Linked DNA regions of Macaca fascicularis. Each later gene encodes a partner of the first gene's protein in a complex. Links are inferred from orthologs where the notes say so. Each region holds a gene or a part of one and is shown on either strand. Other genes may lie near its edges.

Region 1 (7,840 bases):
TTGGGGGGTGGGGAGGGAGGAGCCTGGGAAAAGAACTACTGGCCACACCCCTGGGTTCTCTGCTGGCTAGGTTCTATTTACTTCTCAAAAGCAAATTACTCACAGCTCACTGGCCAGCAGTTCTCTTGGCCATGGTAACTCCAGTCAGAAACTGGAACCAGGCTAGGCTCTCCCTGCATTGCAGGAGAGCAGATGAAAGGAACCCAGGAAACCGAACTCCTAGGTAATGCTCCACACACAGTCCAGATATGCATTTCTAGACTAGCAAACGGAGCTCGAGACCCAGAACAAAAATAGCCATTAGCAATATTGCTTACCAAAATTGTAGATATGAAAAACTTCCCATTTAACTTTTTCTAGAAGAGTCCTAGGAAGGCATCTTGGTTGACAAAGGTTTTCCTTTCTCAATTGAGAAATACTAATTATTCAAATCCTGTTCCTGACCCAAATATTAACAGCCACACTTAGTCTAATGAACACTTGATTGAAATTCTTAGGACAATTTTACCTTGTGTTAAAGACAATAAAAACAAATCTTGCTTGCTGAGCTCCACAGCTAGATCCCTTACTCCTGGTTGGGTTCTCATCCAGAAAGGATGGACATCCAGAAAGACAGGACATTTTAGCTTTGGCATGTTCAAAGTAAACTTCCAAGCAGGGATGACAAGAAAGAAGGTAGTGTGGCATATTAAGAAAAGCATGATCCTTGGAGTCAGGTGGAACTTGCTTGGTGTATGAACTTAAGTCTTTCACTTTTCTTAGCCTCTTTCTTCAGCTGTAAAATGGGAGCCACATACTGACTTCACAGGCACAGGATTGTTGTAGGATTGTGATGTGTTATGTCCAGAATATAAGTAGGTACACAATAGAAAACTGTTGTTTGTTTCAGATTTCACTTCTAAGTGTCCACAGTAATAGCATTTTTTTCTCTTACTGCTTCTGATTTCTCCTGAGGAACTTGAGGCTTCTCAGTTTCCCTAAGGAAGGGGGTGAACAGAGAAACTATACATTGTGACATTAGCCTCATAAAAGCAACTCCATCTAGCCAACATTGACAGTATCATTCAACTACTACTAAAGTAGATGCTATGTGCCAGGCTGTATGTTAGCACAGGGATGCACCAGAGAACAAATTAACCCTCCCACCACCCTCAATTTACATTTCAGTGGAAGGTGACAGGTAAGTATAACTTGTAATAGGCCAGATGGTAACAAGTGCCACAGGAAAAATTAGGCAGACAAGGGAAATGTAGTTGGGGGGCAGAGATTGCTATTCTAAGTAAGGTGACCAGGAAAAGTCTTACTTATGTATTTGGACAAAGACTTGAAGCAGCTGAGGACTTGAGCCATGCAGTTATTTGGTGAGAGTAGAAAGTACAAAGACTCCAAGGTGGAAACATCTCTGTACAGTGGGGTGAGTAACGGGCAAGACGGATGGTGCAGGAAAGGTAGAGGTAAGCTAGATAACTCAGGGCCTTGTAGGCCACTTTGAGTCTGGATTTTTTTTTTTTTTTTGAGACGGAGTCTCGCTCTGTCGCCCAGGCTGGAGTGCAGTGGCGCGATCTCGGCTCACTGCAAGCTCCGCCTCCCGGGTTCACACCATTCTCCTGCCTCAGCCTCCCGAGTAGCTGGGACTACAGGCGCCCACAACCGCGCCCGGCTAATTTTTTGTATTTTTAGTAGAGACGGGGTTTCACCGTGGTCTCGATCTCCTGACCTTGTGATCCGCCCGCCTCGGCCTCCCAAAGTGCTGGGATTACAGGCGTGAGCCACCGCGCCCGGCGAGTCTGGATTTTTACTTACTCAGAGCCAGAAGCACTGAAGGCATTTTATCTGACTTACCTTTTATAGGGGTCCTTTTGGTTGTTCTGTTGAGAATAGGTTCAACCAGGCAAAGCAGAAGCAGGGAGGCCAATTTGGAGGTATTTCAAGAATCCAAGATATAACAGTGTCTTGAACTACAGTAGTAGTGCGGGATTGAGGATTACTTTGTAGAGTGCTAACAGATTGGATGTGGAAGTGAAAGAAGTCAAGGATTTTTTTGGCACGTGATAGAATGGAGTTGCCATTTACTGAAAGGAAAACACAAAAAACCAAAACTATGGTAGAAGCAGGTTTCTAGTGGGGGAAAGACAGGACATTTTAGCTTTGGCATGTTCAAAGTAAACTTCCAAGCAGGGATGACAAGAAGATGGCTGAATGCTCTAGTCTGGAGTCAGGGAAAAGAGCCAGTCCAGAGATATTACAAGTGATTAAGTTGGAGGTTGCCTCCAGATAAATGGTTGTCTTATTTTGGACAGATGCCACTATTTAGGGGAGATCTCACACTAAGGGAGGTTTGCAAAAACAGGACTACCTCCTACCCCCCGACAAAGGTCAAGTTTTAGTTTGAAAATAAAAAGCTTCACAAAAGTCTTACCAAGATTTAATGTACATTTATTCTTAACACGTGGAACATATAGTATAAAGATTTCATACTGAATAAATGATATTCATTAAGCCAAAAAAGGAAAAAAAGGAGGAATTTACATCAAGTTTTAGCTACATTGTTGAAATACAAATATGCAGATTTTATCACTGAAAAAATCTCAATTGTGTTTCTTCATCAGAACTTCAACTGAACCTAGAACTTTTTCACACCTCGATTAGAAAGAAAACAAAACAAAACAAAAACCCAGAAAAAAATAAACTATAAGTTGATTGGCTGCTGAGACAGCAAGGACTTTTTACAGAGACCTGTACAGCATCGCACCAAGAGGGGCGATGTCTGGCAAGAGATTAAATAGCTGTGTCTCGCTTTGTGCAGGTCACCAACTTGTTAACTCGTCATACTATAAAGGGGTAGCTGGGATGAGGACCAAACTGTGGGGATCCAAGGGTATGTGCAATGTACAACGTCATATATATACACACGTGGCAGCGCAGCCGCTGCAGCTAAAGGTTAAAACCAGTTCTAAGAGGTGATCTCAGGGTTATTCATACAATCAAGGAGGAGAGAAAGAGGTCAGGGTGTTGTAGGTTCACACATGATACTTTGGGGGAAAAGCCTTTTTTTTTTCTCCTCAACGTTTAACTAAAAACATTTTTAAAAACTACAGCTTGCTGCTGACCCAGCGTTTTCTCGTTTCCATGTGAGACATTATTATTACAGTATGTTTACAGTATCAGGTGTACAGTACAGTACATGAAAGGGTCTACACTCTACTGCACAGGCCTCTCCAGTGAACAGGGTCTGTTCACAACTGCGAACTTCTTGGCTCCTGCAAGATTGTGAATGTACAACAATAAACCACACACAGTTCAGCAGTCACCTTTTTTGTCCTTCAGAATTTTTTTTTTTGTATTTTTTTCCTTTTTTCTTTTTTACCATTAAAAACAGTTATGAAATGTGGCGTCCCGTTGATGCAAGGACTGGGAAAGCCATTTTTATTTTATTTTTTTTTCCCCAAACTCACTGTAAACAACAGTAACTTTGGTTAAAATAAAAAAAGTCTTCTATGTAGGCAGAGCTTTGTCTTTTCAAAGAGGGTGGGGTGGGGTCCTGAGGGGAGCAAGGTGAGGTCAAGGAACAGAAAGGCGTGAGGTGGTGGACGGGGAGAGGCGGAAGGAGGAAAGAGAAACAGGAGAGACTTTTTCCCAAGGGAGAAGCTGGACAGCACAGGGTAAACTGGATTCTGAGGTGGTTTTGCATAAATAAAGGGCAACAGTCAGTTTCTAAGTTCTCCACACACGCACACACACACAGGGGGGGAGGTGTCCCACGGCTGTCATGACTGGCCAATCAAAAACAGTACATCACAAATGACTTGTGAAACCAATGAGTTCATCAACGGTGATACCGAGATGTCCAACAGCCGTGATTCGTACAGAGTAAACTCTGAGTGGTTCTCGTCCACCTTGGCCAGGGCAAGCAGCGCGCGGGCAGCCCGCCGCATCATGTCCACACTAGTTGGCTCAAAGGGTGGGTTCTGCATGTGGAGGAGGCTGGCCTGGCTCTGCTGGAACTGCGTGGCGGCAAGGCTGTCCTCTAGGAAGCCCAGGAGGTTGCCGATACTGCCTTTCTGCACTGCAATGGCACGAGCTGCCAGGCTGTCCCCCTGAGCCAGGTTGGCCAGCAGTACCACAGCCATCTCCCGGCACACCGGGTTCTTTCGGTCACTGAGGAAGCGCACCATAGTGCTATACAACTTCTCCAGGCGACTGAAGGGGGGTGTGGCCAGAATCAGGTCCACATTGTTGTCCTGGATGCTGAGTTTGCTGAGGGTTTCCAAGACCAGTCTCTGCGGGGAAAGGACGGCATTGGGGCCCAGGGTGGAAAAGGGGTCCTGGGCTTCAGCTGAAGGGCAAACTGCCCAGTGTAGGAGTCCGTCCAGGACAGGCAGGCAAATGCTCTCGGGGTATGGGGATAGGTCCAACTGCCCCGAGATGTTGGCGAGTGTAACCAAGGTGTTTTCCCGGAGCATCTCCAAGCAGTCCCACCACCACTCCACTTTGTTGCAGCTCACCCCTTGGTCCTGTTCCTCCTCCTTCTCATAAGTTAGTGGTGCCTGCTTCCGTTCTGGGTGCTTGTGGTGCAGCAGGATCAGCTTGCCCAGGATGAGCAGCAGCCCTGGGTGTTTGGACATCTCAAAGTCATTGCCTGGCACAAATGACAGGCTTCGAATGGTATTGGAGACACAGACACAGCGCTTGGCAAGAGAATCCTGCCAGTCCAGAAGGGTACACAGTGGGGTCTCATCCTTACTGTGGGGTTCGTCCTCTAGGATCTTGATATTCCGGTGGCTCTGTGCTGGGCTAATGCCAAATGGAAACTTGCTGCTCTCCTTGATGGCCTCTGAACTCTTAGCTCCATCCTCGGTCAAGGTGCTAGACCGAGTAGACAACATGTCATCCATAGTGGCTGTGATCCGTTTTTCTGGAGGTCCATCAGGTGGGGGTCCCTCCTGGTCTGTTGTCCCTGGCGTACCCTCTGCTGTTGTCACATGCTTCCGGGGGGCTGGTGGGCAGGGTGCATGAGGCCGGGAAGGCAGCAGCTCTGTCTTGCTTTCGAAGTGGGTCTGGATATGCTCAGTGGTGTCCCCCCCACCAATCCGCCAGTGCAGCAGGCCACTGTCAAACTCCTGCACACGCCCAAGCTTATCTGAGCAGTCCACCACAAATGGGTCATTCTTCTGTACGATCTTTACTGGAAGCTTGTCAAACTTACTGATCAGCTTCTCCTCACTATTCTCTGAAGCTGGCTTGTCCTTGCCTGAAAAGGCTATCTCCTCATCATTTTCAACTACTTCCTCTTCTTCTTCCTCTTCTAGTTTAGGACCTAGAAGTTCTTCTTCTTCTTCCCCACCCTCCATGGGAGCTGGACTAGACACCTTGCTGAACCTCCCAGGATCCAGTAGCGTTCTCTGTCCTGGGTCACCCACCTCATACTCCTTTAAAATGCCAAAGATCTCAATCAGGCATCGTCGGAAATATTCTACAAGGAGCTCTAGCAACCCTGGGAGCTAAAAAGAGAAAGAACAGGAAATAAATTAAGGGATAAAAGTGGTCAAAGAACAGAATCCTTGACTTGAGAGACCTCCCCAAGTCTTCTGTATCAGCTGGGAGAGGCAGAGTTGCTCCTTTCCCAAAGGTTCTCCACAGAGCAAATTGTTCATCTTAATCTCTTCTATGCCCAACACAAAGTTCTTTCTTCTGCCCAACCTACCTTCACATAAGCCTATCTCCAGGAACACTAGCCAACAGCTTTGCACCTCACCCACCAGGGCCAGTCATCTCTTAGCCTTCTCTTTTCCCAATCAATCTTCTGCTGTTCTTCACCAGGCCAGTTTCCAACCTGGTGGTCACTGCCATATTATCTCTTTTAGGACATTCTCTCCATCTCACTGCCAAGTGGAACCCAAGCTTAGGCATGGTGACTCAAGCTAAGAGAAGAGAATGCAATGTGGGCAGATGTTCATGGCTCTCTTCTCCAAGCTCCCCAATAGTCCAGGGGGCTGGAACTCCATGGATCTTGCAGCATAAGGAGTGGGATGAGGCTTCAGCTCTCCAAACACTGGTCCAAACTGGGGCTACAGAGACCCAAATTCCACCTTGGGTAATATATAGGCCATTTATTTACCTCTAGAAGAAAACACTCCTCTCCAGTCACAATCTTTGGCTGAACAGTAGAGCAGATGGGAAAAAAATAAGGGCTTTCAAATTAGATCTAGGGGCTGGAAGCAGTGGCTCACACCTGTAATCCCAACACTTTTTTTTGTTTTTTTTTTGAGACAAAGTCTCACTGTCATCCAGGCTGGAGTGTAGTGGTGTGATCTCAGCTGGCTGCAGCCTCCGCCTCCTGGGTTCAAGTGATTCTTCTCCTGCCTTAGCCTCCCGAGTAGCTGGGATTACAGGCGCCTGCCACCACATCGGGATAGTGTGTGTGGGGTGTGTGTATGTGTGTGTGTGTATTTTTTTTTTTTTTTTTGAGACAAGAGTCCCGCTCTGTTGGCCAGGCTGGAGTGCAGTGGTGCAATCTCAGCTCACTGCAACCTCTGCCTCCTGGGTTCAAAGTGATTCTCCTGCCTCTGCCTCCCAAGTAGCTGGGATTACAGGTGTGCCACCAGGCCCGGCTAATTTTTATATTTTGGTAGATATGGGGTTTTACCATATTGGCCAGGCTGGTCTTGAACTCCTAACCTCAACTGATCCACCCACCTTGGCCTCCCTCCCAAAGTGTGAGGATTACTGGAGTGAGCCACCACGCCCAGCCTAATTTCTGTATTTTTAGTAGAGACGGGGTTTCACCATGTTGGCCAAGCTGGTCTCAAATTCCTGACCTCAAGCGATCCTTCTGCCTCGGCCTCCTGAAGTGCTGGGATTACAGGCGTGAGCCACTGCTCCCAGCCGGTAGTCCCAATACTTTGGAAGGTTGAAGTGGGAGAATCAGTTGAGCCTAGGAGTTTGAGACCAGCCTGGGCAACACAGTGAGACCATGCCTCTACAAAAAATAAGGAAGTTAGCTGGGGCCTGGAGCAGTGGCTCACACCTGTACTTTGAGAGGCTGAGGCAGGTGAATCACTTGAGCCCAGGAGTCTGAGATCAGCCTGGGCAACATGGTGAAGCCCCGTCTCTCAAAATAATAATAATAATAATAATAATAATAATAATAATAATAATAATAATTAGCTGAGCATGTTGGCGTGCACCTGTAGTCCTAGCTACTTGGGAAGCTGAGGTGGGAGGATCACCTGAGCCTGGAAGGTCGAGACTGCAGTGAGCTGTGATTGCACCACTGCACTCTAGCTTGAGTAATGGAGATCCTGTCTCAAAATAGATAAATAGCTGGACATGGTGGCATTTGCCTGTAGTCCCAGCTACTCAGGAGGCTGAGGCAAGAGGATCACTTGAGCCCAGAAGTTTGAGGCTGCAGTGAGCCATGAGGGCACTACTACACTCCAGCCTAGGTGCCAGAGTCTCTTAAAAAAAAAAAAAAAAAATTCTGGTTTTTCCAGGAAGTAGCTGTATAAAATAAAAATTCCTAAACTTTACAGGGTTATTCTGAGGTGTAAATGGGAGATGTCAAATACCTGGCATATGAAAATTGCTCTATCAAAATTTTTCCTTTCTCATGGTAGGCAATAATATGCAATGGAAATAAAATCAGGCTTAGGAATCAGATAGATTCTACTGACAGCTATGTGAACCTCAACAAGGGTAAGACTCTGAGCCTATTTACTCATCCCTAAATGACCATATCTCCTGTCTCTGAGGGCTGTTGCTAGGATGACATGAAACAGAATATTAAGGACCTGGCACAAAATAAGAGCACAATAAATGGTAACTATTAATAAGTCAGCTC
Region 2 (7,970 bases), on another chromosome or scaffold:
TTACAGGCGTAAGCCACCACGCCTGGCCTGATAATGTCTTATATGGTTTACTACTTTGTTTTTTGTTTTTTTTTTTTTTTGAGACGGAGTCTCACGCTGTTGCCCAGGCTGGAGTGCAGTGGCGCGATCTCGGCTCACTGCAAGCTCCGCCTCCCGGGTTCCCGCCATTCTCCTGCCTCAGCCTCCTGAGTAGCTGGGACTACAGGCGCCCGCCACCGCGCCCGGCTAATTTTTTGTATTTTTAGTAGAGACGGGGTTTCACTGTGGTCTCGATCTCCTGACCTTGTGATCCGCCTGCCTCAGCCTCCCAAAGTGCTGGGATTACAGGCTTGAGCCACCGCGCCCGGCCTGGTTTACTACTTTGTATCACACTAGCCTAGTTTCTCTTTTTTTTTGAGATGGAGTCTCGCTCTGTCACCCAGGCTGGAGTGCAGTGGCAGGATCTTGGCTCACTGCAACATCTGCTTCCTGGGTTCAAGTGATTCTCCTGCCTCAGCCTCCCAAGTAGCTGGGATTACAGGTGCACACCACCACGCCCGGCTAAATTTTTGTATTTTTAGTGGAGACAGGGTTTCACCATGTTGGCCAGGCTCGTCTCAAACTCCTGACTTCAAGCGTTCTGTCGGCCTCAGCCTCCCAAAGTGCTGGGATTACAGGTGTGAGCCACAGTGCCCGGCTATACTAGCCTAGTTTCTTCAGACAGAATGTAGGCTGCTTTGAAAGCAGAGATCAGGTCTTCCACTCTGTATCCCTGACAAGATGAAGCACAGTGACAGACAAAGTAAGTACTAAATCAACACGTGATGGGTCTGCCCCCATTTCCCTGCTTAATTGCAAAATGGACCCTGGAACATGCTAAAGAAAAATCTGGCCCCTTACTCCTTCCTCTGGGTCTTCTACCAGCTGCTACATAAATAAAGGAGGTGTGTGCCTCACTGACCTAAGTCCCTTCAGACCTCTCCTAGGTTCTTTACCTTGAGGTCCCTGCACTGGGACTGAAGCCAGTCATTGATGAAACCCTGAGGGTCTCTGGCAAAGCTCAGCATGAACTCCCGCTGAGTCTTCAGCTGGTTGATGGTTTCTATTGTCTCATGGATCTGAAAGGAAGAACGAAGCCCATACCATTTTCAAACTAGAAAAATGAGAAGTTAAATGGCAGGTGGTGCCTGACAACTCCACATGCCACTCCCAACCTAGTCACAGTGCTGCCCACAGCTGGTACCATCATATAAAGTTCCAACTGCTCCGACCCTTGGCATTCTTTCAGCAGGTAATTTGCTCTTGTTTGTGTCTCTCTGTACACCCCATGTGAGGAAAGTTTTCCTTTTGGTCTCCTCAGTGCCCACTATGGGCAAAGCTACATGATGAATACTTACTCCACAGCCCAAATGGGTCCAAAAGTGTTCTCAGGAAGAAAAGGACTGGCATATGGGGCTGTCTCATAAGCTCTCATCTCTGGGTTTTGTTCTCAACTCTTTTCTCATTCTACATACTCCTCCCAGCAATTTCTTTGACTTGTATGTCTTCCACTACCACTGACAGTATAATGAGTCCCCAGTCTGTAGCCCAGAGTCTATTTTCTATACTCCAACCAAACCGACTGCTTAAACTTGACATCTCTAAAATTAAATTCACTACCCTTTCTCCAATACCTGCTCCTCCTCCTCCCCTCTTCCCAGTCATAGTAAATACTACTATCCACCCAAGCTAGAGACCTGGGAGGCATCATAACATTTCCTTCTCATTCACCCCTCACTCTAATCCCAACAGTGGCCAAATTCCTTCAATTGCACTTTGACACCTCTCAAATCTATCTACTTATCTCCACCCTGACTGTCGGGACTGTAAATGTAGGGCCTCAACACGTCTCACATGGATTACTGCACCAGCCTCCTAACTGGGCTTCCTGCCTCCAGCCCTGCCCTCTGACAAATTATTCTCCACCTTCCTGCAATGATGATTCTACATACAAATAGCATCAGTCCCTCCACTGGTAATGATCTCTCAACACAGTCTTCAGGATGAAACATAAACCAGTCTTCCCTGAATCAAAGGTTCTTCATGATTAGGCATCTGGCTCCCTATCTAGCTTTCCTTCCCAAAACATCCCATCCCTGGCACTCTATGCTGTATCTAGCACACTAAATGGCTGGTACTTCTTTAAGACACCAGGCTCTCTCTCTCCTCTCTGGATCTTTACACGCCCTATTCCCTCTTTCTGGAATGTCTTCTGCCTCCTATACCCCCAGCACCACTACCCTTTTTGCCCTTTCATTAACACCTACTTTGTCCTTCAAGATTTCATTAGGGCTGGGCGCGGTGGCTCACACCTGTGATACCAGCACTTTGGGAGGCCGAAGCGGGTGGATCACCTGAGGTCAGGAGTTCAAGACCAGTCTGACTAATATGGTGAAACCCCGTCTCTACTAAAAATACAAAAATTAGCTGGGCATGGTGGCGGGCACCTGTAGTCCCAGCTACTCAGGAGGCTGAGACAGGAGAATCACTTGAACCCAGGAGACGGAGGTTGCAGTGAGCCAAGATCACGCCATTGCACTCCAGCCTAAGCGACAGAGCAAGACTCCATCTCAAAAAAAAAAAAAAAAAAAAAAAAAAAAAAACAACAAGATTTAGTTGGGGCATCAACTCTTCCAGCAAAGCCTCCCTTTTTCCTTCGTGTTCCCAAAGCACTTTTGGCTTTATTTGCAAGGACTGTGTCTAATAACAACAATCCAGATAACAATAATAGTAGCAGAAGTTACCATTTGTTGTTTTTATATGTGCCAGATACAGACTCAAGTCTTTACATATACTCCCTCATTTAATTGTCATAGCAACCTGATTAAAATAGGTACTATGGGCTGGGCATGGTGGCTCACGCTTGTAATCCCAATACTTTGGGAGGCCGAGGCGGGCAGATCACTTGAGGTCAGGAGTTGGAGACCAGCCTGGCCAACATGGCGAAACCCTGTCTCTACTAAAAATACAAAAATTAGCCAGGTGTGAAGGTGGGTGCCTGTAATCCCAGCTACTTGGGAGGCTGAGGCAGGAGAATCACTTGAACCCAGAAGTGGAGGTTGCCGTGAGGCAGGATTGCACCACTGCACTCCAGCCTGGGCGAGAGAGTGAGACTCCTGAAAAGAAAAAAGAAAAAAAAAAAAGGTACCATGGTCTCTATTCCACAAATCAGAAACTGAGGCTCAGCGCTATTGAGAGTATCCCCACAATCAGAATTCATTTGAGTCTGGCTCAAACCAGCACCAAGCACAGTACCTGACATATACTGGGTGTCGCCATATTTTGAATGAACACTAAAAATCAAAAGGAGGCCTTGAAGCTGTGATAGGGGCTGGTGGTACCCAACCGTCCAGGGCACAGACCCCTACCTTGTTGTCTAGAGTAGCAATCTCCTGTTGGCTGGCAGTGGACAGCAGAAAAGAATTCATCTGGGTCTTCAAGGTGTCATCCACTTCAACATCAATGTCATAACAAGCTGTCTTTTTCTGATCATTCGGGTCAACACTGGACAGGAAACCAAAGGGGCCTGGTAAAGAGCTTGTCCCCTAAGACCTAATTACACAGGGTCAAAAAGATGACCCAGGATGAAGAGAAAAGGGGCTAATTGCAAAAGGGCCCAACAACTTCTGGGTGTGACAGAAATGTTCTATACTTTACTGTGGCAGCTACATGGTATACAGATCAGGCAAAAATCTTCAGACTACACTTTCAGTTGGTATACTCTGTTATATATAAATTATACTTCAATAAAGTTATTTATTTAAAAAGTCAATGGTAAAAATTGAAGCAGTACAAAAGGTATCTGGTGAAAAGCAGTTCCTTCCTCTCCAAAGGAAATCACTGCTACAGTCTCCTATATATCTTTCTCCCTTTAAAAAAAATTTTTGGCAGCCAGGCATGGTGGCTTACGCCTGTAATCCCAGCACTTTGGGAGGCCAAGGTGGGTGATCACCTGAGGTCAGGAACATGGTGAAACCCCATTTTTACTAAAAATTAGCCAGACATGGTAGCTTATGTCTGTAATCCCAGCTACTGGGGAAGCTGAGGCAGGAGAATCTCTTGAACCTGGGAAGCAGAGGTTATAGTGAGCCAAGTTCATGCCACTACACTTCAGCCTGGGTGACAGAGTGAGATGGTCTCAAAAAAAAAAAAAAATTTTGGCGAGCCATGGTGGCTCATGCCTGTAATCCTAACACTTTGGGAGGCTGAAGTAGGAGGACTGCTTGAGCCCACGAGTTTGAGACCAGCCTATACTACACAGTAAGACCCCAGGTTCTACAAAAAATTTCAAAATAATTCCTGGGCTAGGTGGCACACATCTGTGATCCCAGCTACTCAGGAGGCTGAGGTGGGAGGATCACTTGAGCCCAGGAGGTCGAGGATGCAGTGAGCCATGATTACACCACTGCATTCCAGCCTGGGCAACAGAGAGAGACTCTGTCTCAAAAAAAAAAAAATAATAATAATAATAATTTTTAAAACTTTTTTGGCCAAGTGTGGTGGCTCATGCCTGTAACCCCAGCACTCTGGGAGGCCAACACGGGCAGATCACTCAAGGCCAGGAATTCAACACCAGTGTGGCGAACATGGTGAAACTCCATCTCTACTAAAAATACAAAAAGTGGCGCATGCCTGTAATGACAACTACTTGGGAGGCTGAGGCACAAGAATTGCTTGAACCTGGGAGGCAGCGGTTACAGTGAGCAAAGATCACGCCACTGCATTCCAGTCTGGCAGAGCGAGACTCTATATATGTTTAAACAAACGAAGCTTTTTTTTTTTTTTTTTTAAAGATGGAGTCTCGCTCTGTTGCCCAGGCTGGAGTGCAGTGGCACAATCTCGGCTCACTGCAACGTCTGCCTCCCAAGTTCAAGCGATTCTCCTTCCTCAGCCTCCCAAGTAGCTGGGACTACAGGTGCCCACCACCACACCCACCTAATTTTTGTATTTTTAGTAGAGATGGGGTTTCACCATATTGGCCAGACTGGTCTTGAACTCCTGACCTTGTGATCCGCCCGCCTTGGCCTCCCGAAGTGCTGGAATTACAGACGTGAGCCACTACACCTGACCAAACAAACTTTTTTTCATTGTTTCAGAGACAGGATTTTGCTATGTTGCCCAGGCCGGACTCGAACTCCAGGACTCAAATATCTACCCACCTTCGCCTCTGGAGTAGCTGGGTCTACAGGAACGTGCCACTGTGCCTGGCTTTCTCCCTTTTAAACTAAAATTGACCCCAAAAATAAAGTCAAACACAAAATTAAAAGTGGTCTAACTTTAAGCATAGGAATACAGGACAGACCAACTTCTACTGACCTAATTTATAGGTCGAGGAGTTACTACTGCGTAAGTAATGGTTCAGGGTCTTATCTTTCTTCTTTTTCTCCCCTCTCCCTCTCTGTCATCTTGTAGGTTCAGGGTCAAAAGAAAAAAAAAAGCCCACCAGGCGTGGTGGCTCGTGCCTGTAATCCCAGCACTTTGGGAGGCTTGAGGCAGGTGGATCACAGAGTTAGGAGATCGAGACCATCCTGGCCAACACTGTGAAACGCCATCTCTACTCAAATACAAAAAATCACCGGGGCGTACTGGCATGCTGTAATCCCAGCTACTCAGGAGGCTGAGGCAGGAGAATCGCTTGAACCCAGGAGGTGGAGGTTGCAGTGAGCTGAGATTGCACCGCTGCACTCCAGCCTGGCGACAGAATGAGATTCTGTCTCAAAAAAAAAAAAAAAAAAAAGAAAAGAAAAGAAAAAAAAAGAAAAAAAAGTCCTTACTGGAATTAATATGGAATAAAGGAAGAAAGGCAAAGAGACTATATCCAACTACAGAGCCATGCTTCTTTGAGAAGGAATTTTCTTCACTTCCTATCTGCCTAGAGATGCCTTGCTCTCCATCCTCTAAACAAAAAAGTGAATAGAAGTAATGGAATTGGAGGCTCAGAATAGAATGCTGTACCATCCAGAGAAAAGATGGCCACTGAGCTCTTCCATCAGTGAAGAGCTGGTAAATGTTTAACAACTGATCTTCCAAAGGAGAGCAGGAGGAAGTGCCCAGATACGTGCATTTGCTGATCTTTGGGCTTTAAATAATCTGATTTCGGCCGGGCTCAGTGGCTGACACCTGTAATCCCAGCACTTTGGGAGGCCAAGGCGGGCAGATCACCTGAGGTCAGGAGTTTGACATCAGCCTGGCAAACATCGTGAAATCCCATCACTACTAAAAACATAAAAAAATTAGCTGGGCATGGTGGCAGGTGCCCGTAATCCCAGCTACATGGGAGGCTGCGGTAGAAGAATCGCTTGAACTCGGGAGGTGGAGGTTTCAGTGAGCCGAGATCATGACACTGCACACCAGCCTGGGCAACAAGAGCGAAACTCCATCTCAAAACAAAACAAAACAAAAGGCTGGGCACAGCGGCTCAGGCCTGTAATCCCAGCACTTTGGGAGGCCAAGGCGGGCGGATCACCCGAGGTCAGGAGTTCAACACCAGCCTGACCAACATGAAGAAACCCCATCTCTACTAAAAATACAAAATTAGCCAGGCATGGTGACACATGCCTGTAATCCCAGCTATGTGGGAGGCTGCAGCAGAAGAATCACTTGAACCCAGTAAGCAGAGGTTGCGGTGAGCCAAGATTGCGCCACTGCACTCCAGCATAGGTAACAAGAATGAAACTTCATCTCAAAAAAAAAAAAAAAATTCTGATTTCAAGCTACCAACATTACATTACTGTTCATGAGAAGAGATGCACAATAACATATAAGCACATCATATCATTATATCATATTTCCACCAGATGTATACAACAGGCAAAAATAACCTCAAGAGCACAAATACAATAAAATGTAATAATGAGAAAGTAATACATTTTGAGTATATGTTACCCACTTTTAGACTAATATATTTAATTATAAGTTTATGTAATTTAATTGTAAAGTAACAGCTGTGTTTAACAACCTATTTGCAAAATTCCTGAAAATTTGACAACTAGCTTGTGCAAACTGGTACAAGGCAGCTCCGGCACAGCACTGCCTCCCACACACAGGCCTACCTGATGACATGATTAATGATAATAGGTTCTGGTGGCATAAGCAAGGCATGGAGCCGCTGCGGGATCTCTGAAAACTTCATACGTTGAGACTCAAAGATCTGTGGCAAAGGAGAGAAGCACGAGCTTAGCATTTTGAGTGTAGCTAGTGTTCTAATGGATTCTAGCAAAAGAATGGGTCCATTACTTACCTGCTGCAGGTACTTGTCACAGATGACAAACTCCCGCTCATGAGGGTCCTGGAGCTTATGTGTCTTAATATATTGCCACAGTGCTTGGATGATCACTGGACGAGTCTGGGTGTGGATGCCCAAGAGCCGAGCTAGGCGGGGGTCTAATTTAAACTGGGGAGGCTGCAGGGAACCAAAGGGTATAGGGGATGAAGCTAGTTAGCTGGGTCTATATGCAGCAATACATTCAAACTATTCAACAACAATGTAGTGCTTTTTCTGGGACAGAAACATTCTAGGAAGAACTCAGAGATGACTAAGACTCTATCTCTGTGACAAAGTGGCAAATTATTCACAACTAGACATAAACCCTTTAAAGTGAGCTCGCTGACAGGATATGGCTGTAAAAGCTGGACCCCCTCACACCACCACAGAATACCTGGTAATCCAGCATCAGTAGGACAGTACACCGTACATTCACATCTCCCGGCCGCTTCACCTGAAAGCCATCGGTCTCCTGGGTAGTGGCGGTCCTGTGCCACTACAGAGAGGAAGATGTCAGGGGGTGCTCTCCCAGAGGAAGAGCTGGGGTGGGAGGGAAGAGCTTCTGTAATGACTGAATATTCAACTTTGATTACTGAGGCTACTGGAGAAGAGCAATAGCATGAGGCATTTTAAAAAACTGCATATGGCTCTGGGATTACTGTCTGTGTATAAGTAGATTAACCTTTTA

The links. The genes of interacting proteins can lie anywhere in the genome.
Region 2: ARID1A (region 1) and SMARCD1 share a complex: the UniProt entries of both Homo sapiens proteins name them as parts of the neuron-specific chromatin remodeling complex. The link is inferred for Macaca fascicularis from reciprocal best matches to the Homo sapiens genes ARID1A and SMARCD1.

The regions. Positions count from the first base shown.
Region 1 is NC_088375.1:208,326,238-208,334,077, forward strand, and holds the end of ARID1A (AT-rich interactive domain-containing protein 1A), read right to left. Parts: intron 6,158-7,840; coding exon of another isoform or gene 6,038-6,157; exon of another isoform or gene 5,802-6,037; intron 5,502-5,801; coding exon 3,768-5,501; 3' UTR 2,416-3,767; downstream 1-2,415. UniProt on the Homo sapiens protein: Involved in transcriptional activation and repression of select genes by chromatin remodeling (alteration of DNA-nucleosome topology).
Region 2 is NC_088385.1:56,920,621-56,928,590, reverse strand, and holds part of SMARCD1 (SWI/SNF-related matrix-associated actin-dependent regulator of chromatin subfamily D member 1), read right to left. Parts: intron 7,823-7,970; exon of another isoform or gene 7,779-7,822; coding exon 7,677-7,778; intron 7,421-7,676; coding exon 7,259-7,420; intron 7,169-7,258; coding exon 7,071-7,168; intron 3,523-7,070; coding exon 3,387-3,522; intron 1,098-3,386; coding exon 975-1,097; intron 1-974. UniProt on the Homo sapiens protein: Involved in transcriptional activation and repression of select genes by chromatin remodeling (alteration of DNA-nucleosome topology).